Diceros bicornis minor: one gene and its partners. The protein of the gene in region 1 interacts with the protein of each later gene in a pairwise test. Links are inferred from orthologs where the notes say so. Each region holds a gene or a part of one and is shown on either strand. Other genes may lie near its edges. The genes, in order: PRKN, RGS2 and SYT11.

What was found.
Region 2: the proteins of PRKN (region 1) and RGS2 interact in binary tests that used the Homo sapiens proteins (3 or more experiments, as listed by UniProt). The link is inferred for Diceros bicornis minor from reciprocal best matches to the Homo sapiens genes PRKN and RGS2.
Region 3: the proteins of PRKN (region 1) and SYT11 interact in binary tests that used the Homo sapiens proteins (3 or more experiments, as listed by UniProt). The link is inferred for Diceros bicornis minor from reciprocal best matches to the Homo sapiens genes PRKN and SYT11.

Annotation. Positions count from the first base shown.
Region 1 is NC_080778.1:7,908,540-7,916,655, reverse strand, and holds the start of PRKN (E3 ubiquitin-protein ligase parkin), read right to left. Parts: upstream 4,123-8,116; 5' UTR 4,029-4,122; coding exon 4,022-4,028; intron 1-4,021. Other genes in the region: PACRG (parkin coregulated gene protein), read left to right, coding at 4,593-4,748. UniProt on the Homo sapiens protein: Functions within a multiprotein E3 ubiquitin ligase complex, catalyzing the covalent attachment of ubiquitin moieties onto substrate proteins. Substrates include SYT11 and VDAC1.
Region 2 is NC_080777.1:22,250,984-22,259,099, forward strand, and holds RGS2 (regulator of G-protein signaling 2), read left to right. Parts: upstream 1-3,812; 5' UTR 3,813-3,833; coding exon 3,834-3,943; intron 3,944-5,052; coding exon 5,053-5,154; intron 5,155-5,258; coding exon 5,259-5,320; intron 5,321-5,894; coding exon 5,895-6,061; intron 6,062-6,344; coding exon 6,345-6,539; 3' UTR 6,540-7,260; downstream 7,261-8,116. UniProt on the Homo sapiens protein: Regulates G protein-coupled receptor signaling cascades. Inhibits signal transduction by increasing the GTPase activity of G protein alpha subunits, thereby driving them into their inactive GDP-bound form.
Region 3 is NC_080743.1:59,533,722-59,541,837, forward strand, and holds the start of SYT11 (synaptotagmin-11), read left to right. Parts: upstream 1-3,418; 5' UTR 3,419-3,640; coding exon 3,641-3,674; intron 3,675-8,116. Other genes in the region: GON4L (GON-4-like protein), read right to left, coding at 147-249. UniProt on the Homo sapiens protein: Synaptotagmin family member involved in vesicular and membrane trafficking which does not bind Ca(2+). Inhibits clathrin-mediated and bulk endocytosis, functions to ensure precision in vesicle retrieval.

The DNA of each region.
Region 1 (8,116 bases):
AATAGAAGGGAAAGTAGCAGTACACAGTACATTCAACTAGAAATATAAATTCTGAGACCTTAACATTCACCACATACGAGCTTTAAAACAAATATGCAGATTTGTGGGCAAAGAGTAAACTTAGACTGTACATTCCTGATGGCAGGGCATCTTTTTCTGTTTTATTCACTAGTGTATCCCTGGCACCTGGAGCAGCACTGGGCACATAGTAGGTGCTCAATTATTAGATATGCTTTTGTGAAAATAAAGCATTATCAAATGAAAAGTGGCAGGTTTTTTCTTCATAAGTTCATTTTAAAAATTAAAATATACTGCTTTTCATCTATCAGAAAGGCAAAAGTAAAAATAGTTTATGGTACACAAGGGGGAAATGGGCACTCTTATAAACACTGTCAGGAAGGGCAGAGCCAACAAGGACAACACACTTTGTGCAGTTTGTGCACTGCTCAGAGGCACTAAACCTAGGGTGAGGCAGAGGGGGAGAGGGGAAACCCAGCAGGTGCTCTGCTGGTGAAAGCTGAGTCAGTCCTGGGAGGGATGTCTTTTTGTAATTTTTCAGCCCACAGAGAGAGGGCAGCTCTTTGCTACCTTGTTGTGGTAGACAGGAGTATAAAATAGGGCAACTTATTTGAGAACAATTTGGAAATACCTAGTAAAATTCAAAATCTACAAACCCTTTGACTAAAAAATCCACCCAGAAACTGTAATAAGATTTTTACTTTACATATATACTTAAACATTCAAATAAAATGATACGGACACAAACATACCTGATGATAGCAATTGTCTGTAAACCTACTAAACGCTCATTTATTGAAGAGTATTTGCATAATTTGTGTATATCCAGAAAATAAAACACTAGGCGGGAATTACTGTGAGGTGGATCTGTACATGCAGATATACGAGTTTTCTAAGAGATGTTAAGTTAAACGACGTACAAAACAGACTATGTTCTAATTATTGTTTTTTTTTTTAACTCAATCACAAACCTTTTTAAAGAATAAGACATTGAATTTGAATTTCAATATTGGCAACATTGTTGTATAAATATCCATGCACTTTAATATCTGATACTACTCAAATACCTGAATCCAGTTCTGCAGGACATTTAGAATATACCTCAAATATCACTACTAAAATTCAATTTTAAATACAAAGAATTGCTAATTTTAAAAAAGGGTGAAATAAATTTTAATAGAGGTGTCCAAAATTACATTTTTCTAAGTTGAATTTTCTTAAGCTTTTCTATTTTGCTTTACATTATCCTCAAGTCCTTCTCCACACTTCTCACAAAGTTATAGTTTTTCATCGACTTCAATTAGATTATGTTTCTGTAGCTGTCTGGGTCAGGGCATTTAACATATCAATCATAATCCAAGTGGGGAATGTAAGTACTTTGGAAACAGTCTCCGTGCCAAGAAGGAATCCCGGGTTTTAAGAAAGTAAAAGGAAGGTAATTTTATTGGTAGTGAGGTAATAGTCAATCTCCTTTACTCCTATTCCACTGAGAAACCCATTTTTGTTTTTCCTCAAAAGTGATGGAAGATTCAAATAAAGTAGAAGAGTACTATTTGCATTAACGAGGGTGTAGCAATTAAAGAGAGCACAGGCATGAAAGGGGCAAGTATGAGTAGCACGCATGTCTTTAGCAGAAAAAACTATCCCCAGATACATGTGTATTTGTTCTCCAGCTTATCACTGCGCAGAGACTATCACATCTTTCTTGGCTCTAAAGTTTAGTTGCGGAAACAGGAAACCCATCCCTCTAAGATGTCCCTTCACTTGCTTCCACTTTCACTAACCTTTACCATTATTCAACACAACCAAGTCCAAAACTGGCAGTTAATATTTTTATTAAAATATGCCCACCAACAGAATTGGGCAATGCAACTAGTTGTATAAAATAATGTATTGCACACTGTCCACATGGTTTTATATGGAAGGTACTTGTCCTGGGAAGGGGCATGGATTTAATTATTTATGTTGTAACACACATTTATCTGCACTATGTAAAACAACAGCTGGAGTATGGGAAAGAATGCCTTTTAAATCCACCTCATATTCTCCATGTCATTACTAGACATCGTCTAATCAACCACACCGTACTCTTCCTTCTTGTGGCCCTAAATCCCAAATAAAAACTAAACTGCCTAAACATATTTCCTCCTAATAAAGTTATTCATATAATCATTTATTAGAATTTAGAATTATGATGATTTTTAGATTTTTTTTTTCTTAAATATTTCTTTCTTTATTTATTGTGTGTGTGGGGGGAAGAGCAGCCCTGAGCTAACATCTGCCAATCCTCCTCATTTTGCCGAGGAAGACTGGCCCTGGGCTAACATCCGTGCCCATCTTCCTTCGCTTTATATGGGACGCCGCCACAGCATGGCCTGACAAGCGGTGCGTCGGTGCGCACCCGGGATCTGAACCCGAGTCGCCAGCAGCAAAGCGCGTACACTTAACCGCTATGCCACGGGGCCGGCCCCTGATTTTTAGATCTTTAAGTTCCTGTCTTCTTTATATAGCTTTACCATAAATGTTTCTTTTAAAATTATTCATGCATTACATTAAGTTGAATTAAAATTTGTGCAATTGTCTTTAAAATAAGGTATAGACTATTTTTTCCTATAAAATAGTGATAGTATGGATTTTGAAAAACTTCTACTTGGTTTTCTGATTCAGATCAGATTTGTGTTTACAAGTGGATCTTGTGTAACTGCCACCTAAAAAGGTTCAAAAGATTCCTAAATATTTACACATTTTTATTAATTTGACAGCTTTCAAAAGTCATTCACCAAAAGTTATACCAGGCTAGAAAGGTAAGAAAAGTTGGACATCTTTAGGTTTTATCATTGCCGCAAAGACAGTGTCAGTTAACTGGCATGATTCTCCTAGTTACAGGTAGAATGTTTTACATTTTAACATTATTTTCATAAATAAAAGATTTAAGAAGAGTTTATCAGTGCATACAAACTTACATATTTTAAAAATCCACCTCTCATCTTTCTGGACAAACCACATCTGACTTCAGATGCACTCGCTGCAATCAAAAGTGTTTTGTAAGTGGCGCCTGTCAAGAATAATCCTAAAATAAACTCACTAAATCTTCAATGCATAATCTAAAACAAGTCTCTGTCATAATAAACTCCAAACTAGCAATGTTTTCTAATCATATTGTGCATTTCCACTAATTTTCAGAGATAATCCCTAAAATAACTTTTGGTTTAACAACCCTGGAAGAGAGGAACTTTGCTAATCTTATACATCACAGTGCTTATAAACAATTCTAGTAGCCACTTCCAAAGCTTTATTCACAAAAATGCACCTAGGTTATTTTGTGTTTGGAAAAAAAAAAAAAAAAAAAAAAACTTTTGCATAGTGAATTAATGATTCACTATGCAAAAGGTTTAACCCTTGCTATGATTTACTCTTAATCGTTCATCTCAGACCTTCAATGAGAGATTTAAAAGAAAAAATCGCAGGGAGCAAGAAGTTTAAATCCACCTGCAGGAATTTCTTTTGATGACAACCATCATCACCAGGTACCTTCCATTAGAGTCAATGCTTCGCTAGGGTCTCCCTTAAAGAATCCTACAGACAGTGGGTCCCAATCTGTCCTAAACTGGAAGACACCGACCAAGTCTCCCTGAGGGATGGAAATGGGGGCGGACAGGAAGGCCTTCCCACGGACCCCCACAGGTCTGACTGAGCAGTGCACTCGCCGTGGGATAGTGGAACCCAGCGTCCACCTGGGGAGGAGCACCCCAGGGTCCCTCGCCAGGTTGTCTTCAGTGGGAAGCTTGTCACAGCAGGGGCGGGGTGGGGGCTTAGAACACACACTGGGCGGGCACTGGGAAGCCGCCGGCGCGGGCAGAGGACGGCGCGGACGCTGCCGCCCTGCCCTTGACAGTTGGCACTGGCAGGCACCCTGGGGTCCCCGTCGGCCGAGGCCCGGCGTGGCGCCACGGCTGGGCGCGGGACGGCGCAGAGAGGCTGTACCTGGCAGGCACCCACGTACCGATCATGGTCACTGGGCAGGTGGAGGCTGCCGGACAGGGCGAGGACTACCAGGGCACCGAAGCCCACCCGCGCCTTCCACCAGCGGCGCTCCGGGGTTAAATCGTCCAAGACTCCCCTCCCTGTGCCCAGCCGTAGGAATGCGCAAGCGCGAACGGCGCGCAGCCCGGGGCTTTCTGGGAGTCGTAGTTTTAATGCGTAGTTTCTCCTCACCCCCGCCCGCCTCCCGCCGCCTGCCGCCCGTCGGGACTGAGGCCCAGGAAACGTACGTCACGGGGGGCGGGACCATTCGGCCGCCGTGTTGACGCGTCGCTTAGCAACCGGGAGGCTAACCTTTAGAAGCTTGTTGCAGCTCAAGCCACGGTCCAGCCCTCTTCCCGCCCCTCCCCTCCCCTCAACTCCCTTCACCTAGGAGCTGCCAAACATCTGGATCAACCTGGGCACTACGAGGGGGTTGAAGTTCTACCATTAACGCGCCTTTTTACATTTTTTCCCGACCTCCTTCTCACATCCGTAAAACCCACTGACTCTTTTACTACACGTTTTATGAGAACAAGACATTTTCTAGGAAGATGGTGGCAGAAAAAGAGACCTTGAGCTTAAACAAATGCCTAGACAAGATGCCGAAGAGGACCAAGCTGCTGGCACAACAGCCGCTGCCGGTGCACCAGCCTCACTCCCGGGTTTCTGAGGGCTTCACAGTCAAAGCCATGATGAAAAACTCAGTCGTAAGTGATCTTTCTAAACTGAATGCACTCGCTCCGAATCAGATTGTAGAGGCTGGCTGGCCCTAGGATGGATTCGGAGCCCATGTCCTGGGTGGTCTTTGCCAAAAATGGCAATTATTCAGCCAGTAGCAGATGGTGCCCAACAGAGTGTGGAGGTCCAGGATAGGTTGTTAGAAAGGATCTTGGACAAGTGATGTACTATACCCATTTATAAGCACCTTCCTAATAACTCATGGTTTCTAGACCACCGCACATCACTCTTAAACTATTTACACAAAGAAGAAAGATCCACTTTGCTTGTTGATTCCTAAACTAGCCCAGTCAGCAAAAAGCCTCATTGAAAGTGAGTTCTTAGAAATCCTAAATTCTCTTGTAAAATTTTACATGTGCTGATGTACAGCTGGAAACATAAATATTAAATAATCTACAATAGGAAATCTCATTAATTCAGCCTAGGAAATTTTAGAATATCCTAGCATTTACTCTAAGGGCACTGTTTCTCACAAAAAGAAAACAGCAGGTTAGAGTACTGAAAGACACCTGAATATGAAGTCTATTTCCAGATAGACCTTTTAAACTGCTAATTTTAAACAAGCCAAGCTTCACTTCAAGTATCTCTGTTACTACAATTCGTATTTCATTTCTATTTTTTGTGGTAGTAAAAAGAAAATATTATCAATACCGTTGGGGGAAAAAGGTTTAAATTGCACACAAATAGTTTAGCTACATGCACGATAGGTATAGGAAAAAAAACAGCTTTAAATTTGGTATGCTAAACCAAGTTTTACCACGGGGTAAGCAGCTGTCTGGGAATGAGGTATTAAATAATAAATACAGCTTTCAAATTTGTGTAATTTACACTCTGGGAGGATCTGACTTATTGTATAGCAACTCATTATGTTAAATGAATAATGTTGCTTTCCAGTGTCACGTTATTTGTTTTACGTAAATGTTGTAAACCTAATACCTTCTTTCTAAACCACATCCTTAAAACACATGAATGAAACATATTACTTCTAGACCACTAGGCCAGATTCCCATGTTGCTACACAAAATGATATTCTGGTTGTTGGAATGTGTCAGTTGATTTACAGTAGTTAAAATTTTTGGAAATAGAGTAAAACTTCTGCTTGTTGTAACTGCAGTCTTTCTCCCTGTATTTCACGTGAATAGGTGGTCATGAGAGCCAAGACGACTCATTTATCAGCAATACAATGTATCATAACCTTAAAGCTAATTATTTGCTTTTCTTCTAAACAGAGTTTATAATTATAATTTTAGTGATTTTTTTCAATGTTATACTTTTTCAAAGACGTAAAAAAATTGGTCACATTCTTCCTCTTTTTTTTTAAACTCATGTTCATAATCATGTTTATTTTTTTTAAAACATAGCCTTATACTTAAAATCATAATTCTGGAAAATCAAGTATTTCAGTATTGCCGAGTGTAACAAATATGCTTACAGGACTCAAAAAACCGTTGATTATGAAGCAGCCTTCTTTTTAAACAACTTATTTGAGATAAATTATCTTCTTATTGCCATATTTTTAAGGAAAATCCTGTAGTGTAATATCTATGTCTCCACTGGGATCCTCAAAATAGGATGTCATTCTTTCACTTCATTTAGTGGAAATCATAATTGTTAGAGACAAACATTACTCGTCCCCTCATTCATTCAATCAACAACACCTTTTTTTTTTTTAATCTAAACTAAGAACTTGCTAAGCACAACTTTGGGGTTTGGGACCAGCAAAATAGAGTTCCTGCCCTTAATACTCCAAGGAAAACCACCGCCAACAACAACACTAAAGTATTGACGAAAGAGAGATAAACAGTACTGTTTATGCAAACTAACTTCAGTGGTACAGGAAATAAAACCTTTCATTTTCATACCCAGTATTTACATTTCACTGTTTCTGTCTTCAACCGTATAAACCTTTCGGCATTATAAAGTCAAAATACCCCTCTTTCTTAAGGTTTATTTCTGTTAGAAAATAATATGCCAATCTCTAGCTTGTCTTAATTACAACCTCTTGTTTCAAAAGCGAAGCCCTAAACCATTTTTCTAGTATTGGGACTTGCCTTCAGTTCCTTCTTTCCAATACTTGCTAATTAAATGTCACCATTCTGGTGCTCCTCCACGAAAGACATATAGAACCATACCCTAAGGAGTTCTATGGAGATTCCCAATGTTTCTTTAAGAGTGCTGTAGTCATATAAGGCTACAAACTCGATCATAAACAGATTTGATCAGATGGGCTATGCAAGCAGAAATCTTTATTTAAACAGTCATAATCTATATATGACAATGCAAAATTAATTACAAAATAATGATAAATGTAAATGGCTGGTTATTTAAATTCCAATAGCATATGCTGTTCTTCAGTAGTAAGTAGTTCCTTTACTTCCTTGAAATTGTTGTTGCCTTCTGTAGTGGAAACAAGCAATGACACAAGTTCTGCAATCAGAGAATAATATTCAAATGTTTATTGTTATAATGTTTGACAGAAAAGAATGATAGGAGATATAGAATTTGAAGAGTTCATAGTTCCTTTTCCCTTTAAAGGCCTTGTTTGTGGCATGATAGAGCCCATAACCAGAAACCTGTAGCCCAGTGTTGTATTGACTTCATCTCAATAGACAGTAGATGCTTTCTGTGCTAATCTACCTTATCATAAAGCAAGTTTGAATATGAGCCAAAGGTTATGATGATAGAGAAGTTGACTTCAACTGAAGCTTTATATTATAGCTTTCCTTTTCAGTAGACGATAGATTTTTTTAAGCTCAAAGTTTATGGGAATGGGAGAAATAATACTGTAATATTTCTTTACTTATATAGAAACTTTTATACTTACGAATCATATCTTCATTCAACACATTGTGGTAATGGTTAATGTTTATGAACCATATATTAAGATATTGACTTGGCTGCTTTAACAGAGACCAAATAACAATAGCTTAACTAAGATGGAAGTTGTTTCTTTCATATATACAAGTCCAGGTTTGTAGATTATCCAGAAGGTTGGGCACTGCTTCCCCATGAGATAGATCCAGAGACATAGGAGCCTTGTATATTCTTGCTTTGTATCCTGTAGGATGATGCCGTGGGTCAAGGTGAGCTCACCACCACCAGGGTCAGATCCCTATCCTCAGGAAGGAGGAAAGAGGAAGCAGAGGGCTTCCTTTTATGGGCGTGACCCAAAACACAGCACCCACTTTCACTCGCATCCCACTGGCTAGAATTTAGTCACAGGCCTATATTTTCCCTTTTTGCAAAAGCCTTTGAAAGATTGACCCTTAGAACAACTCCAGACCTTCGTACCTGTTTCATCAGGAAAAGGGCTAAGCCAGTTGTGTAGTTCCAAAAG
Region 2 (8,116 bases), on another chromosome or scaffold:
AAATTATGAACTCCTCTATCGTACATGTCAAGTATTAGGTTGAAACTCTGATTCATTCCTGACAAAACACTAACTTTCTTTTTTATCAGCTTCTGTGTATGCAAATTACATTCTAAGAAAGACAGTAATTGTAATTTTTAAATCTCAGATCACATTGGGGTGAAAAGTGGAGTACAGAATCTTATGGGGTCATACGTTCAATCTCTTAAAAGAGAATTTCACCAACTAAAGTTCAATGAGAGAGAGAAAGGTGGAAGGAAGGAAGGAAAAGACAGGTGTCACTTCCTCAAATATGGTCAACAATTAGGGTACTAAAAGTTTTCATTTTTTCCAATTACTCATCACACCCTTTGCCACATGGTGTTTAATTTCCTAGTTTTTTTCCCCTTTTTTTCAACTTACTACCCATGTAAGATTTCATGAGGTAAGCAACAGGTTTACAGCTTTTACAAATTCAGGAACTAAAACATCTTACTGACCAAAAAAAGCAAGGCACGGAGTAATACACAGGATGATCCTTTTGTGTTTTTTTAAAGCATGTATCTTGTTTCCTAAATTTCTAAAGTATAGCTGAAAGTTATGTATAAATATTTTTAGCTAATAATAACTAATAATTTTTGGTTAATAATAGCACACAGTTGGAGGGGAAGAGAGAAGTACGGCAAGGGAGACTTTCGCTTTTCATATTCCCCCTTTGAAATTGCTAGAAACTTGTATTTTTCTGTTTGCCTTCTTCAGTAACTTAAAATTATTTTAAATACAAAAAGTTCAAGAACCACACTAAGAACCTCCACCACTAACCTGTTCAGAGAGCCTCTCCAGTAGAGGGCATGGGAGATTCAACATGGAAAATGTATGGTTCGCTTATCAAGCCACTCTCCAGCTGTGACTTTGCTGTGCAATATTTACAACCCATTGCATTGTTTCTTCCTCCACCACGGAATGGAAAATATGTGTCATCTTAATATTGAGCAATCCCATTTACCTAAAAGCCAGTCGCAACAAAAAAACAAAGAGAAGTCATCAAACAGTAGCTCGCCTTTCAATATATGTCTGCCTGTCTTTATAAAAGACAGTAACGTGGCAACTTTTTGATGAAAAGATTTCTTAGTCTATAGGTGATATTGCCTTAACTCTTAACATTACCCATAGATACAGAAATGATAAATTTACATCCAGATTTATCAACCTCATAATTTTAAGGAAAAAATTAATTTTCTGCCACTTAACATCAGATGTTAATTGGAAATGGTTTAGGAAAAAAGCAAATAATGACATTAAATTTACAAAAACATCTAGAATAGTCTACATTTAAACCAGTTGCTTACATAGATTCATGTATATTCACTTTTGTGAATATACTGAGATGACTGAACTTTGCTGGCTTGGAGATGTCTGGAAAGTTTAAATGTCAAACAGTTTGCTTATTTTCCTTACGGGCTTATTATCCAGAGAGCATTTAGTAAGTATCTATTAAGAGCTTGATACTCTACAAATCTCTTGACATTATCTTGATATTTTATTTTTTTTATTTTTTGTGAGGAAGATCAGCCCTGAGCTAACATCCATGCTAATCCTCCTCTTTTTGCTGAGGAAGACCGGCTCTGAGCTAATATCTATTGCCAATCCTCCTCCCTTTTTTTTTCCCCCCAAAGCCCCTAGATGTATGTCATAGCTGCACATCCTTCTAGTTGCCGTATGTGGGACGCGGTCTCAGCATGGCCACAGAAGCCGTGCGTCGGTGTACGCCCAGGATCCGAACCCGGGCCGCCAGCAGTGGAGCTCGAGCACTTAACCGCTAAGCCACAGGGCTGGCCCTATCTTGATATTTTAATAGTACCTACAGATTCATAACCTAATTAACTCAGAGTTAATCCTTTAATGATTTTTCTATCTGTAATAGCTATGCTTCCAGATATTTCCTTTTTCACACATATGCAAATTAATAATAATAAACTTTGTATTGTACTTTAGAATTTACCAAGGCCTTTCAGGTAAGATTCACATAATATCTAAGGAGGTTGGCAAGAAAGATGCATTACTCTCAATACAGATGAGAAAAGGGCTCAAGAAGGTGTGATGGGGCAGTTCCAACAGTTACCTAGTAATTACTGGTTAAGCTCAGACTATAATTAGGTCTCCTAACAGAAACCCAGCTCTCTCTCCCTGCTGCTTTTGTCAGAACTCCTGGCCTTTCCAGAATGAGCGAATTCTACCATTCAAGGTTTTAAGTGGAAAATACGACTGAGATTTACATTTGCAAGGAAAAGCAAGTGTCTGCATATTACACATATTTAATAAATAAGTACTGAATCATCAGAAAGTGAAAATAGATATAGGAAATATTATGCAAACTTCTTTTAGAGATGAGCATAAGCTTGAGAAGGATGACATTCTTACATTTCCCACAAAGTATTTATGACTGAAATCGAAATGATTTTCCTTTCTATAATAAGGTACATGGCTGTTCTCTTTAGTAATAATTGCAAATTTTACCCTCCAAGTCAAACTTGGAGCTCCAACTACTGGCAGCTCACCATAAGAATATGTTAAACTAGTTCCAATTTTCTTTTAACAGTTCGATGCAAAGTAGAAGAAGATTTGCAGCCCAGTCAATACCTTGCTGTTAATCTTACTGTCCACTTAGATGCCTGATGGGAAAACCACTTGAATATTCCAATCCCCAGTTTTAATAATGTTATCTGAAATCAAACCATTTTGTAGTTGAGGTTATCTATTTGTCCTTACCTATCAAACCATTTAAAGCCCCCTACAGTTGAGAGGATTTCTGAAGAGCTAACAAATTAAACTTACGCAAGCAAACTGTTAACTTCTCACCTCCCCCCTTTTGCCAGTTAAGAGTTCTGGTAAATTCTAAGCCAACCAAGAATGACTCATGAGGAAATCCTACATCCTTGCGCTCTTAACACTAGAACGATTCCGGTGCCTTACAGCTGCGAGGTCTCGGTGTTTCCCTCTATCTCGTAAGGAGATATGTGATTTCTATTCTGGAAGGACTCCTGAGGACTAAGCCTGCAACCTCACGGACAGACCCAGCCACGTGTCTATCGGTGATCAAAAACGCACACCGTTAAAGCACTGTCGTCTGACAAAGTCACTTTCCCCTGGTCCTTCCCTGACTCATGTTCATTACCCAAAAGTGTCCCCAGATGCCCAGGCAAGCTGCAGAGGAGGTCACACCGTGTGCCCTTGGACCAGCACTGTTCCTCCCGTTCACCGTTTCCTTCCCCAAACTAAATGGAGTCGCAGAGGGGAACAGGTGCGGGGGGGGGGTCCCCCAGTTTACAGACCCAGAAAGGAGGCGTGAGGAGAAGGCGCGCGCTCCAAACACCAGGGGCAAGTCTTAACTCAAAGTAAGGTGATTGCACTCTGGTTCGCAACCAGCAACCTGCCCTGCGGGGAGTCATCACTTTCTGGGGTCGGGAGCACGTGAGCGTGGGGGGGGGGGGGGGAAGGAGGCGAGGAGGGCGAGCGCCACCGACTTCGGCTCCTCCCTGGGCGGGAGGGACCGGCCGCCCCGCCTGGGAGAGATCGCCCGCGGCGACTCACAGTGAAACCTCCGTCCGCTCCGAGTGCGCACGACACCGGGTCCACAGACGTCAGCAGCGCCCTCGCTCTGAGACGCTGCGGCGGCGCCCGGGACCGCACAGGCCGGCGCTGCCCCGCCCCCAGGCCCGGCTGCAGCCGGCCAATCGGCGCCCTCTGGAGGCGGGACCGGCGACGTGAGGCCCCGCCCCCGCGCCTCCGCCTCTTATAAAGGCGGCGGCGCGCGCCCTGCTGCAGACCCCGGCGGCGCAAGTGGTTAGAGTAGCATGCGAAGTGCCATGTTCTTGGCTGTCCAGCACGACTGTGGCCCCATGGATAAGAGTGCAGGCAGCGGCCCCAAGAGCGAGGAGAAGCGGGAGAAAATGAAGCGGACTCTGTGAGTACGGCTTTGTTCTCTCTCCCGCCCCCCGCTGCCGACGTGGCTCCCCGGGCGGGCTGCAATCGCGGTGCATTCGCGCTCGGCTTGGACATAGAGAACTATGTAGCCTGCGCCTCTGCAGGAAAAAAAAAAAAGTGTAAAAGGTTAATTTGCTCCGTAAGGTTGTTTGTGTGGTATATACTTATTTTGTTACGTGAGCGAGGGACTCTCGGGTAGTTTAGGAGCTGAAGAAAATTCTTGATAGGGAGGCGGTAGTAGATGCGCTAAGAAATTACGGGCTGGCTTTTTGTCCCCCTGCATTGAAATGACATCAGAGAATCCTGCGGCTGAAGGGCGTCCCCGGCCTTTGTGCGTTGAATGATAAGTTCTGATCAGCTTACACAGCTGCTAGGATGGAGATATTTTTGCTAGTTCTGAATATATTCCTTTTGAATCCATTTTTATTTTTTACTTGAAAAGCAGATCTCGCACACTCACGGCTGTGGAACAAATTGTTCTGCATCAGCTGCTTAAAATGAGGGTTGTAGTTGGCGAGGGTGGAGGCAGTCATACACACACACACACACACACACACGCGCGCGCGCGCGCACAGACACACACACACACACACACACACACACACACACACAGACACAACATTGTACACAGCTTCTGGCGTGGTCCAGAGCCTCCTGCTCCAAGGGTAGAGGTAAATGAGCGTGGGCGGGCTCAAGGCAGTTCCACTGTGGTTTCATCAAGTGTGAAATGTCTCAGAATTGTAATTAAGTGGCAGAAAAACTGCTGCCTTTTGTGAGCCAGAAATAGCATCTGCCTTTTGAACTATGTAATCTAAATTCATTAAAATACCCTAGTAATTTTAGGTATTTCTGCCCTTAGTTACAAAACTAGTAATTATGTTCAGATGAAGGGATGAAACTGATTATGTTCAGTACATAGGTGCTGGGTTTAAATGTTAGATGAGTAAGACTGACTTGAAGAGTTGGTGTTTTGTCTTATTTAGTTTGTGTGCAGCTACTGGGTGACTTTATTTGGTAAAAATGCCTTTGGCTGCAGTAGCGACTTCAAGTGTTGCCACTTAGTGAATATCTTTTGTTTTTTTTTTTTAGATTAAAAGATTGGAAGACCCGTTTGAGCTACTTCTTGCAAAATTCCTCCTCTCCTGGGAAGCCCAAAACTGGCAAGAAAAGCAAGCAGCAAACCTTCATCAAGTAAGTTGAAAATCTTGTAGTTGCAAATATGAATAGCTGGCCTGCTGAGCTGAAAAGAGAAAGTGGATGTGCATAAGCTAATGTGCAGAACCTCTCCCTTGCAGGCCTTCTCCTGAGGAAGCACAGCTGTGGTCTGAAGCATTTGATGAGCTGCTAGCCAGCAAATGTAAGTTACTCGCTTGAATTGGATCCATTTCAAGTATCACAAGAGTCTAGAAAGGTTGTGTCCACATCACAGAAAAGCAGCTTGCCCAAGGGGAATTCTAATTTACAATCACTATAACATAAGGCCTATTTTTATCCTTTATTTCCCAGTGTTAAATCATGGAAATACATAGTTTATTCACTCCTGTGGGAAAGAAAACTTAGCCTAAAAAAATTATAGTAGCAATTGCTCTTTGTTAAGGTTGGGTTAGCTTTTCCATTGCATACACTATTGTCAAGAGGCTTCGTTCCCAGAGAACTTGTGACTCCCCTATAAATATTTGCATTGACAGCAAAGTTAAGTATTTATATTTTTGTAGCAGTGTGCCAACTTGAAGGATTTTTCTTACTGGCACCGTAGTCTTTAAAGAGCTAAATTCCCAGGATTACAGGTTTGAGTGAAATCTAGAAAATCGCTGTCATCCAGAAACAATGAAATATGGAAGCAAGAGAATGGGAGTTCTAGAAAAAATAGGATTATTTGGTGACTCAGTTCTTCACATTCCGTATCCGTTCTCCCCCATCCCTTCTTCTAGATGGTCTTGCTGCATTCAGGGCTTTTTTGAAATCTGAATTCTGTGAAGAAAATATTGAATTCTGGCTGGCCTGTGAAGACTTCAAGAAAACTAAGTCACCCCAAAAGCTGTCCTCAAAAGCAAGGAAAATATATACTGACTTCATAGAGAAAGAAGCTCCAAAAGAGGTAAGGGAAAAAAAGTTTCCTCATTTCAGTGTATTTTGAACATTCTCTGCGCCAAAGTGAAGCACGAATTGAAGAGACAGCACATTAAAAGTGGGGCAGGGGTGGAGGGAAAAATGTCTTCCCCTCACCCTAGCTTTCAATTAAGTTCATTTTCTTCAGTGACTTGGCTGGTGACACCAATTGTGCATTATAGTTTTTGTTAGTTTTTTTGTTTTCAAATATTAAATAGATTTCAGTCTCTAACTCTGAATATGGAATAAACCACTTTTTTGTTTTATTGCAGATAAACATAGACTTTCAAACCAAAACTCTAATTGCCCAAAATATACAAGAGGCGACAAGCAGCTGCTTTACAACCGCCCAGAAAAGGGTATACAGCTTGATGGAGAACAACTCTTACCCTCGTTTCTTGGAGTCAGAATTCTACCAGGACTTGTGTAAAAAGCCACAGATCACCACAGAGCCCCATGCTACATGAGATGGAAGACCATGAGATGGACCCCAAAAGTGGAGGACATTTCATTTTTTTCCTAAGGGGAAAGGCTGTGTGACCTGCCAAAAAGACTGACCTTGAATTCACCCTGGGTGTTCAGGAGACATCGCTCAGAACTATTGATTCAAAGTTGGGTAGTCAATCAGGAAGCTGGTAGCCTTCTAGAAGGGGCTTGTATCAGGATGGCATCCATAACTGTGTAGAGCACAGGGAGAGTGGTCTGAACGTGGCGTGTCTCACACTGGAAAAGCCAGAATGGGAGACCGGAAGATACGATGTAATGCTAGTGGTCCAAAAGCATTTAGAATCAGTAGACCTGGGATTATGTGGCCTTAGCTAGCTGGCTGTCCATCTTTCCCTGAATCAGTCCACGTTGCCACGTAGTGGTTTTAGTTTTAGTTTAGTACTAAGTAACATTAAAACGTTTACTGTGTGCAAGGGTATTGAAGTTCTTTTGCCTCCAGATCATGAGTACTGTTGTCTCATGTAACTCTAAACCTGAAATGGTCTGTGTTTGAATTGTTAAATGGTGTGTGTAATAGAATGAGTGCTGTCATGTAGAAAACTACAGTGTCCATGATGAGTGCCAAACTGTCCTGAAGGCAGCTACACTTTGAAGTGGTCTTGGAATATTTTTAATAAATTTATTTTGATAAATAAGGTCATTGAATATTTGGTCCAGATGTGAGTGGTTTTGGGGGGTTTTTGTTTTGTTTTGTTTTTCGGTAATCGGAAATATGGCCGATACGAGGGAAAACATCTCCTTTCTGGTGGAGAAGAGGCATCATAATTGATGAGCCTGTGTAGTGAGAATTGCCAGTCCTTGGAACTGGGAAATGATAGTTGCAGGGAACATATGTTCCTTTTGCTAGGATGCTTTTGTAGGTCAAAGGAGGTCATCATATCCTTAGAACCACCCTAGGATCAAGCTTTCTAATATGACCTTGTAAAAATCAAGCTTGTTAATGAAAACAGAAGAACATTGACCTAAAGCCCTTAATGAGTAGCTGTTACAGACTAGCTAAATATGAGAAGTAAAATTAGATAGTGGAGACAGCACCAAAATTATCACACAGCTTAGCTTCTCAGATGAAAAAAGCCCAATAAAGTGAACGTAGGCCTGTCTTTTTTATTTCCCTTGGGTCCAAGTTCCCCCACAGGGTACTGGCATGAGCGTCGAAGATATAAACCTGAAATTCACTTCCATGATGGATTAATACAAAATCAGAATTTTCCTGAATCTCCTGCCTGCATTTGGCCAAGAAAGAATCTGATTATGTGACTTTAGCTAATGAGGACAGCAAAAGAAGCACACTTGTGTTTCTTAGGCTTCATCTAGAAATGTGCTCTTTTCCTAGTTGAGAGGGAGGCCTTGAATCTGTTATTTTTCAAACTGGCTATTTAGAAAAGGAATACTCTTTGCCAGCAGGGTGCTTTTTCCACCGCTGATTATGGTTTTAATTTTAAAAAAGGGGGAGCCCTCATCTTGGATTTGGAAAACCTGAGCCCCCGTAATGATTTCTCAGAGCTTTGTGACCTTGGGAGTCCTCATCTTTCCTGGT
Region 3 (8,116 bases), on another chromosome or scaffold:
TACTGATTAGTATGTTATCTTAGCTGAGTGACTTAACCTCTCTTAACTTCAGTTTCCTCAACTGTAAAAAATAATAATTGTTCTTATCTCATAGAGTTGTTATAAGAATTAAATAGTAAGTGATTAGTGTTAGCTATTATTATTACCATCAGGGAGGTAGAATAGCATGATGCTGAGAGCAAACTGTGGAGTCAAACTGTCTGGATTTGTTTCCCAAGTCAGCTTCTCTCCAGTTTTGTGACCTTGCATAAGTTACTTAACCTGAATCTCAGTTTCTTCAGCTATAAAATGAAATAAAAATAGCACCTATGTCATTAGATAATAATTTATTAGATCAATAAATGTTTGCTATTGTTGTTTTCATAAACAGGTATTTCCACTAACAGAAGCATTCAAAAAGGAAAGCGTGGTTGTTTAAGAAGGTTAGGCTATATTAACAAAAATTTTGCGTTGAAAAGAGAGATTCCTACTCTTCTCTATATTATGTTACTTCTGGACTCTTGGCTTCAATTCCAATCATCACATTTTAAGGGCTACACTAACCAAAACTGGAGGGTATCTTCTTTTATGTTCTTACCGCACCTGTTTGCAAACCTCTTTTATAGTACTTATCACTTTTGTGATTGCTTCTTGTCTGTCCTTCCTGTCTCCCTCTCCCTAAAACTATGTGCTTTTGAGGAAAAGGATTCTTTCAACTAGCACCCCTAGTACCCAGCAGTATCTGCCCTATTGTAGATACTCAATGAATGTTCCCTAAATAAATGAATGAATGAAAGCAAGAGAGTGTGAACTTCCTATTCTGTGCTTATTCTATGCAGCATTTGGACCAAGAGTTAAGCATTACATGGAAACTGACTGCATCTTTCTACCCAGAAAAACTTTACTCTCAATAAAATAGGTCCAAGAATAGAATAAGTTGCCTTGTGTTACAGCGAGTTCTTCATCACCGACAATGCTCACACAAAGTCTGAATGCCCACCTGTAAGAGCACTAGATGAAGGCTTGGACTAGTGGACTGCAAAATAAAGTTCTTTCTAACTCTAAGAGTCAGAACTATAAGGTTAGTTTTACACCTCCATAATTCAGTTTCTCCAGGACACTAGCAGAGATTCCTCCCCCGCCCCCAAAATCAACTGATGTCCTTATCTTGGTAATTAAAGCTCAATAAACACGTTAAGATTCCGCTGAGTGCTGTGAAGGAGGGTAGTGAGTGGGTAAGAAGTGGAGTAGCAGTAGTTTAGGCGAGTCCTATACTTCACCGATGAATTACTGACGTCCAAGAAAGAAAAAAAAAAGAAAGGCAGGCAGGCAGCTACTATTCAAACCCAGCAGCGTGCAGGGATGGGCTCCAGGCACTTCAAACTCAGCAGAAGCTCTAACCAGGCCCCCACTTTGGGAACTGGAGTCAGATCAACAGGGTGAATGAAGCGAATCCGGAGGCAGCCCCAGCGCGGGCCTCTCCTGGGAAAAGACTGCAAAAAGGGGTTCTAACTGGGCTTTTCACCTCGGCGCCGAGCGCTGGCCCAAGTCCCTACTCCCCAGCTAGACACCTTCACACCTCTACCTTCCGTCATGCACCCCGCGCCAGCGCTCAGACCCGACCCCCTCTGCCTGGACATCCTTCGCCCAGGCGTCCAGCGCCCACCTGCCTCTCCCGGCCCCATGGCACACAACCTAGTACCCTCACCAGCCAGCCCGATCCCGCGGAAACTCAGCTCCCGTATCACCGGAAGTCAGCCAACGGCAGCGGCTGACGTGCGCGCACCCGAGTCGCGGTGCGCGGCGTCAGGTCGTGCAGGAGCATGCGCCAACCACTAGGCGCCATCTTATTTTAGGGCGGAAGGAAGCCACAGAGCTAGTACATCAATTGTTGGCAAAAAAATTTAAAGGCAATACCTCGCTTTCCTCTGTCCATGGAGCTATCCTACTCAAAACAAAACTAGGGAGTGAGATTCAGAGGTTTAGTTTGACATCTAATCCTTCTCACCGCGAGACACCTGGAATACTGGACCAAGGAAATGGAGAATTCATAAAATTTCGGAAAGAGGAATCTCTGGGTTACAAATAGTGCAGTTTCGTGAATAAAGCTAAAGCAGTCTTGGACTCAATCAGTAGTAATTATTCATATCTGTATAATACTCTGCATTTTACAAAATGCTTTCACTTACGTTACCATATGTGATTTGATCTTCACAATAAACCCTATAGGACAATAGATATTATTATACCTTCCAATTTAAGCAGGACAAATTTCTGGCTCAGCTGGGTAGGTGATTTCACAAAGATACACAGCTATCAAGGGGAATCAGGTATCCTAACTCTAGCTTCTAATGCACTGATCCAGTGCCCAGGAAGGTGCCTGGGGCATAGTCAATATTCAAGACATGTGTTTTGAATGAATAAGTGACTCCTAGAACCATGTTCTTTCCACTTTTCTAGAAGAACAGAATGTCAAGGCTGGAAAAATACATTCAATTCTCTCATTTTACAGGTGAACCACCAACAAATATTTATGCATTTAGGTAATCTATTTGACCTGATCCTATCTGTAAACAGAATCCGATAGAATGAAAATGTCCACAGCCAAAATGAAGGGTGAAATTGATGTAATCATGGCGATAACCGCCAATATCCTGACTCTAACCTGAATCACCCTAACTCTCCCAAATGCCAAGGAAGTCTCGAGAAGCCTGGAGCTTCCTTTGCGTCCTGCTTTTGAACCTACAGAATACACAGATCTGTTGGTTTGCTGGCTCACTCGCTCTCTCTCTCTCCCTCACTCTCTCTCTCACTCTGTCCTAAGCCCTTGCAGTTTTGGAAGAGAAATATCCAACACTGATTAACTTTGGCACTCTTCATTAGTCTTTTTTTTTTTTTAAGAGCTTTAATTTACACACCACAAAATCCATCCGTTTTACTTGTACAATTAAATTATTTTCAGTAAATTTTCAGAGTTGTGCAACCATCACCAGGTTTGGTCTTTAATCAGAGCTTCTGAAGTTTAAGAAAGTTTGCATAATAACCTTTAGTGGTTTCAGAAATGCATTACATAATGACAATTGATACTGAAATGCAGGCAGTATAGAATTTTGTTTTTTCAAAATACTGGTTTCCCTCTCACCCAGAACATTCTGCTGCTATATTAAGCCCAGGGAACCAGAATCACAGGATCTGTAGTATCTCATATAAAACGCCTACATTCTCTTTACTCAGGCCTCCGGGTTTTCGCCTAACAGACCCACAGCCTGTCAGTGGGCGGGGTCTCATTCTCGGGAAACCTCGGCGATGGGAGGGGTCCCCTCCCTGAGATCTTCCGGAAAGGGGCGAGGCCTGCCTTCCGGAACTTTTCGGACAGAGGCGGAGACTTCTGCCGAGGGCCGTTCGGAGGAAGGCGGGGCCTACCTCGCATCAGGACCAGTCTAGCTGCACCTGCATCCTTAGCTCAGAGCATCCCTGGAGCATCTTAAGAGGCGACCGCAGCTGGCAACCAGGGACCAGACCGTCGCAGGAGGCGTCCGTCAGATACCTTCCCCCTCCCCTGACCTAGCGCTCTGCAGCGGCGGCCTCAGTACTGACCGGGGGTTCCCAGAGTTGTCCAACCATTGCAAAAGCATTTATAGCAATAGCCTCTGACTACGACATGGCTGAGATCACCAATATCCGACCTAGCTTTGGTAAGTAGAGTCGGGCAAACTAAGCCTGGGGTAGTCGAAACTGTTGCAAAGCCAAGGGAGCCCAGCGGCTGGGCAGGGAGTGAAGCCCAGACCATGGCCTTCAAGTGCCAGCCCCACTAGAATCGGGCCTGTGGTGGTGGGTAGCGGGCAGTGGCAGAGTCTGAACTTGAGCTATGGGCTGCGGGGGCTGGCAAGGCCAGAGCCACACCGCGGGTGGGGAGGTCCAGGGTGCTAAAACCTTGTATGGTGCACTGTCAGCACTGCTGGAGGTGAGAAACAGCGAGCTTGCGGAGGACGTGAACCCCTCCTTCTGGGGGAGGAGAGGTGCGGTAGGCCGAGGCCTCCCCCTTGGGGCACGCAGGGCGGTGCCCCTACCTCCCCCTCCCACTCCTTAGGGCTGCGGGGGAGGGAGGTGGCACGGGGGATGGGGCATCAAGATGGCAGCTTGGAGACTGTGGGCTGTGTGGCTGGCAGCCAGGGGAGGCGGCGGCCTCTGGGGAAAGAGAGGTGCGGGGGTGGGGAGCAAAAAGGAAGCCACTCCTTCAGCCAGTCAGCTGGATGCTGGGGCCGGAGGAAACGTGAGCCCTGCAAGTTCTATTCTGCATCGTAATGGTGGGGTCCGTCTGATGCTACCAAATGGCGCTTGGCGCTGCTGGGCTGGGGGATGACGTGATGTCTATTTCTGGGCCTCCTGGCAGCGCCTAGGCTCTTCTTCCCAGGCCTTTGTTCCCTGTTTCCCTGGGCTGGCTTTTCAAAAAGGGGGACTCACCCGCGCTGGAGCTGGCGGGGGCCCGAGCCAGACCGGAGGGGGAGGGGCGAGAGAGGCCGAGCCCGGGGGAGGCCGCTTTGTGTACCAGAGAAAGCATTACGTCACCTCGGAGCCGCTGGTCCCCGACCCAGCCCTGTGGGCTCCAAGATCAGTTACACTCCCTGGGGCAGAGTGGAGTGGAAAATAGGGAAGAAGATGGGAAAGAAAAGCTCGAGAAGCAAGTATTTTCCTCTTTGGGGATTCCTCCAGAATGTGCTAGGGTAACAAACTTCCTGTGCTATGATTCCCTCGTCCGAAAATAAAAAAAGAATTGCCCTGCTTCTCCCTCAATTCTACTCGTTTGGATGGGAGAAGCCACTGAGAGTTGCTGTCAGCCTAGGGTTCCTTCATATCCCTTAAGATTCTATCCCCCAGACAATCCAGGTTTGAGCATCCAGACTCCAGGGTTTAGGGTGGGGCTACAATCCAACTAGGAAATGGCTTTTCTCACTCCTGGAGTAAGAGGCTTATGGAAATGAGCAGAACCCAATGTGCTCTATCCCTTCTATATCAGGAAGAAGACATCAGATCAGGAAAGTATCCAGACAACAGATCACACCCACTAACTAATGTTCCCACTGATTCCCCAAGGCTGATTCTTGGTTGTATTTTTTTCTTCCACTTCACCTTCTGCATCTGTATTCCTTGAGTCCTGAATTTCCAAAAGAGATGGCCCTTTTGGGGCCACATGAGCACCTCATGGTTTTTTTTCCTGCTCTTTTTCTTCTTATGCCTTCTTTCCAACATGTTCTTTTCTCTAATCGCAGTTTTCGATTTCTTGGAAAGTTAGATGGTGTGGAGCATAATATAGCGATTTCCTTTAGAAGCTATATTTGGAAAAGAGAAAATAAACTATATCACCCTTTTACATACATTTTATTTAATCCTTACAAATACTCTCCGGTGTAGGCATTATAGTATGTGTTTGCCAGATGAGGAAACTGAGGCTCAGGGAGATAAAATAACTTGGCTAAAGTCAAACAAACTAGTGAGGGTAGTGCTAGGATTTAAACCAGTGTCCAGTTGATGCCAAAGTTCACTCTCATTTCACTGTATTGCACTGGCCTGCTTGACAGAGAAAGGCTATTATTGTAAAGGAAGTGTCAATAAGCAGATCTGGTCAGAGGCTGAGAGAGTTGAGCATAGCCCAGGTGTCTCTTGCAGGCCTTTAGACCCATACAGAGGGTCTCCTACAGAGAGAACTGCCACTTCTGATCTTTTTCACGTCTCATAGAATACTTCATTTCAAATGCCATAGCCCTTGGGAGATACACCAAGCCAACACTCAATTATCCGTGACCTTGGAGGACAAAAGGAGCAAGCAGCACGGGTCACTGCAATTTACAATTACTTTAAAACATTCACTTTAGCCATTAGTTCCAACTTCCTTTTCCCACCAAGCTTTTGACTAAAGCCAGACAGAGCGTTTTGAGTTTCAACATTTCTGATTTTTCTAGTTCAGTGCCTTGGGTGTCAGGGAGAGAGGCAGGGGTTAACACATACTAAAATGAAGAAGAAAGTAGGGCAAAAGTGGGCAACAAGATAGAGGAGAGCACTAGGTAATCCACAAATGGATTCATCTGTTTCTCTTCTTTTCCTTCTCTGTCCTTCTGAAAGATGAGAATCCTACATCTTCTCTCTTACCCACTCCACCTCTATTTTCTAACAGTAAAAGTTGAGGCATTGTCAGTAGCAGTGGGTTCTCTCAAGATCACCAAGTCTATGATAGAGCCAAAAGGATCACTCAGATATCTTCCAACCTGGGCCTTTAGATCTCCCTTTCAAATCATTCTTGAAAATATACCTGTCTTGGTAGTTCCCTGCTTTCCTCTTCTCATAGAGACAATCAATGCTCAGTTTCACTAATCACTAGCAAACAATTTTCAGGAAAGTCCCTGATTGGTGATGGAGAGGCACTTTATTAGATTTGTGCCCATTATAATTGACAATTGAATCCAATCAATTATTCAAACAAATATTTACTGAGCTCCTATTAGATACAAGAAACTTAGGGAAGATGAACAGGATGTTACTTCTGCCTATTCTCAAGGAGCTTACCACCAAAGCTGGCCCAATTTTATGAAACCTCTCCGTAACAACTCTTATTTCACTTAATACACTGAGAATAAACACTATTATTATTCAGTATGGCCATGGACATGGTCACTTTGATTTATTTTGTTAATGGCTTTACTCCTTATCTACGTTTTTTAAAAAGGCAACCCCTTCTTTTCTTACCTGGTCCCAACTTTCATAGAACTATGGAAATGTTTGAGGCAGAAAGACCTTTAGAGACATTTAGTCCAATCCCCATTGAAGAAATCCTTTCAGAATATGCCTGATCCAACCTGTTTGAAAGTTTTCAATTGGAGATTCATTGCCTGATGAAGCAATCCAGGCAAGTGTGCGGCAGTTCTAATGATAATTTGACTCTTTTCATTGAGTCAAAATCTGTCTTCCTGTAGCCTATACGTACTGATGCTAGACCTGCCCTCCAAAGTAAAATCAAATCAGAACTTCTTCCATCAAAACGCCTTCAGTAATTGAAGAAATGTATTATTCCTAGACCCCTCAGCTCCAGTTCCTTCAATTTTTCTTCATTTGATATGGTTTCCAGGTCTTTTACTGTCCTGATTACCTGTAATGTAGAGACATTCTGGTGTCAGGCAGACCAGAGTTTAAAACCCATTACTGCCATTTGCTCCTATGTGGCCTAGGACAGATTTGAGTCCCCAGGTTCCTCAGTTGTAAAGTGGGGATATTAATGGTACCCATTCACTGAGTTCTTTGATTCAGAGAGAAAAAGCTCTAGCACAATGCCTGGCAGGAACATAATAAATGTACATAAAAAAATCGCAGTTTTTATTCTTGTCAGTGCTAGACAGAACACTCCATGTGCAATGTGACCAGTGCAGATGAAATTATACCATCCTTCCTGTGATCTGGACGTTGTACTCATAGTATAAATAGGCATTAGCCTGGGGGGCCAGCCCTGTGGCTTAGTGGTTAAGTGCACGTATTTTGCTACTGGCAGCCCGGGTTCGGATCCCCGGCACGCACCGACGCACCGCTTCTCGGGCCATGCTGAGGCAGCATCCCACATAAGAGCAAGTAGAAGGATGTGCAACTATGACATACAAGTATCTACTGGGGCTTTGGGGAGAAAAAGGGAAAAAAAGGAGGAAGATTGGCAATAGATGTTAGCTCAGGGCCAGTCTTCCTCAGCAAAAAGAGAAGGATTAGCATGGATGTTAGCTCAGGGCTGATCTTCCTCACAAAAAAAAAAAAAAATAGACATTAGCCTGATTAGACTGCAAGCTGTGGTTACCTAAACTACTAAGTTATTTTTGCTCAAACTTGTCAAGTAAGGTCTCCTATTGCCTATTGATAGGTTTTGAAGGCCAAATAGAATTTTACATGTATCCCTGATATATGTAATCATATTGACCTCATCTTCTCTTTCCAATCTGTGGGGGCTGTTTTGACTTCACTAACTCATTTGTTCACTGAAGACTTACTATGTGCCACATGGTTCTAGGACCTGGGGATACAGCAGTGGACAAAATAGACAGTCACTATTCTTATTAACTTATCTAGTGAGGGAAGACAGAACGTAAATATATGTTGGGGGTAG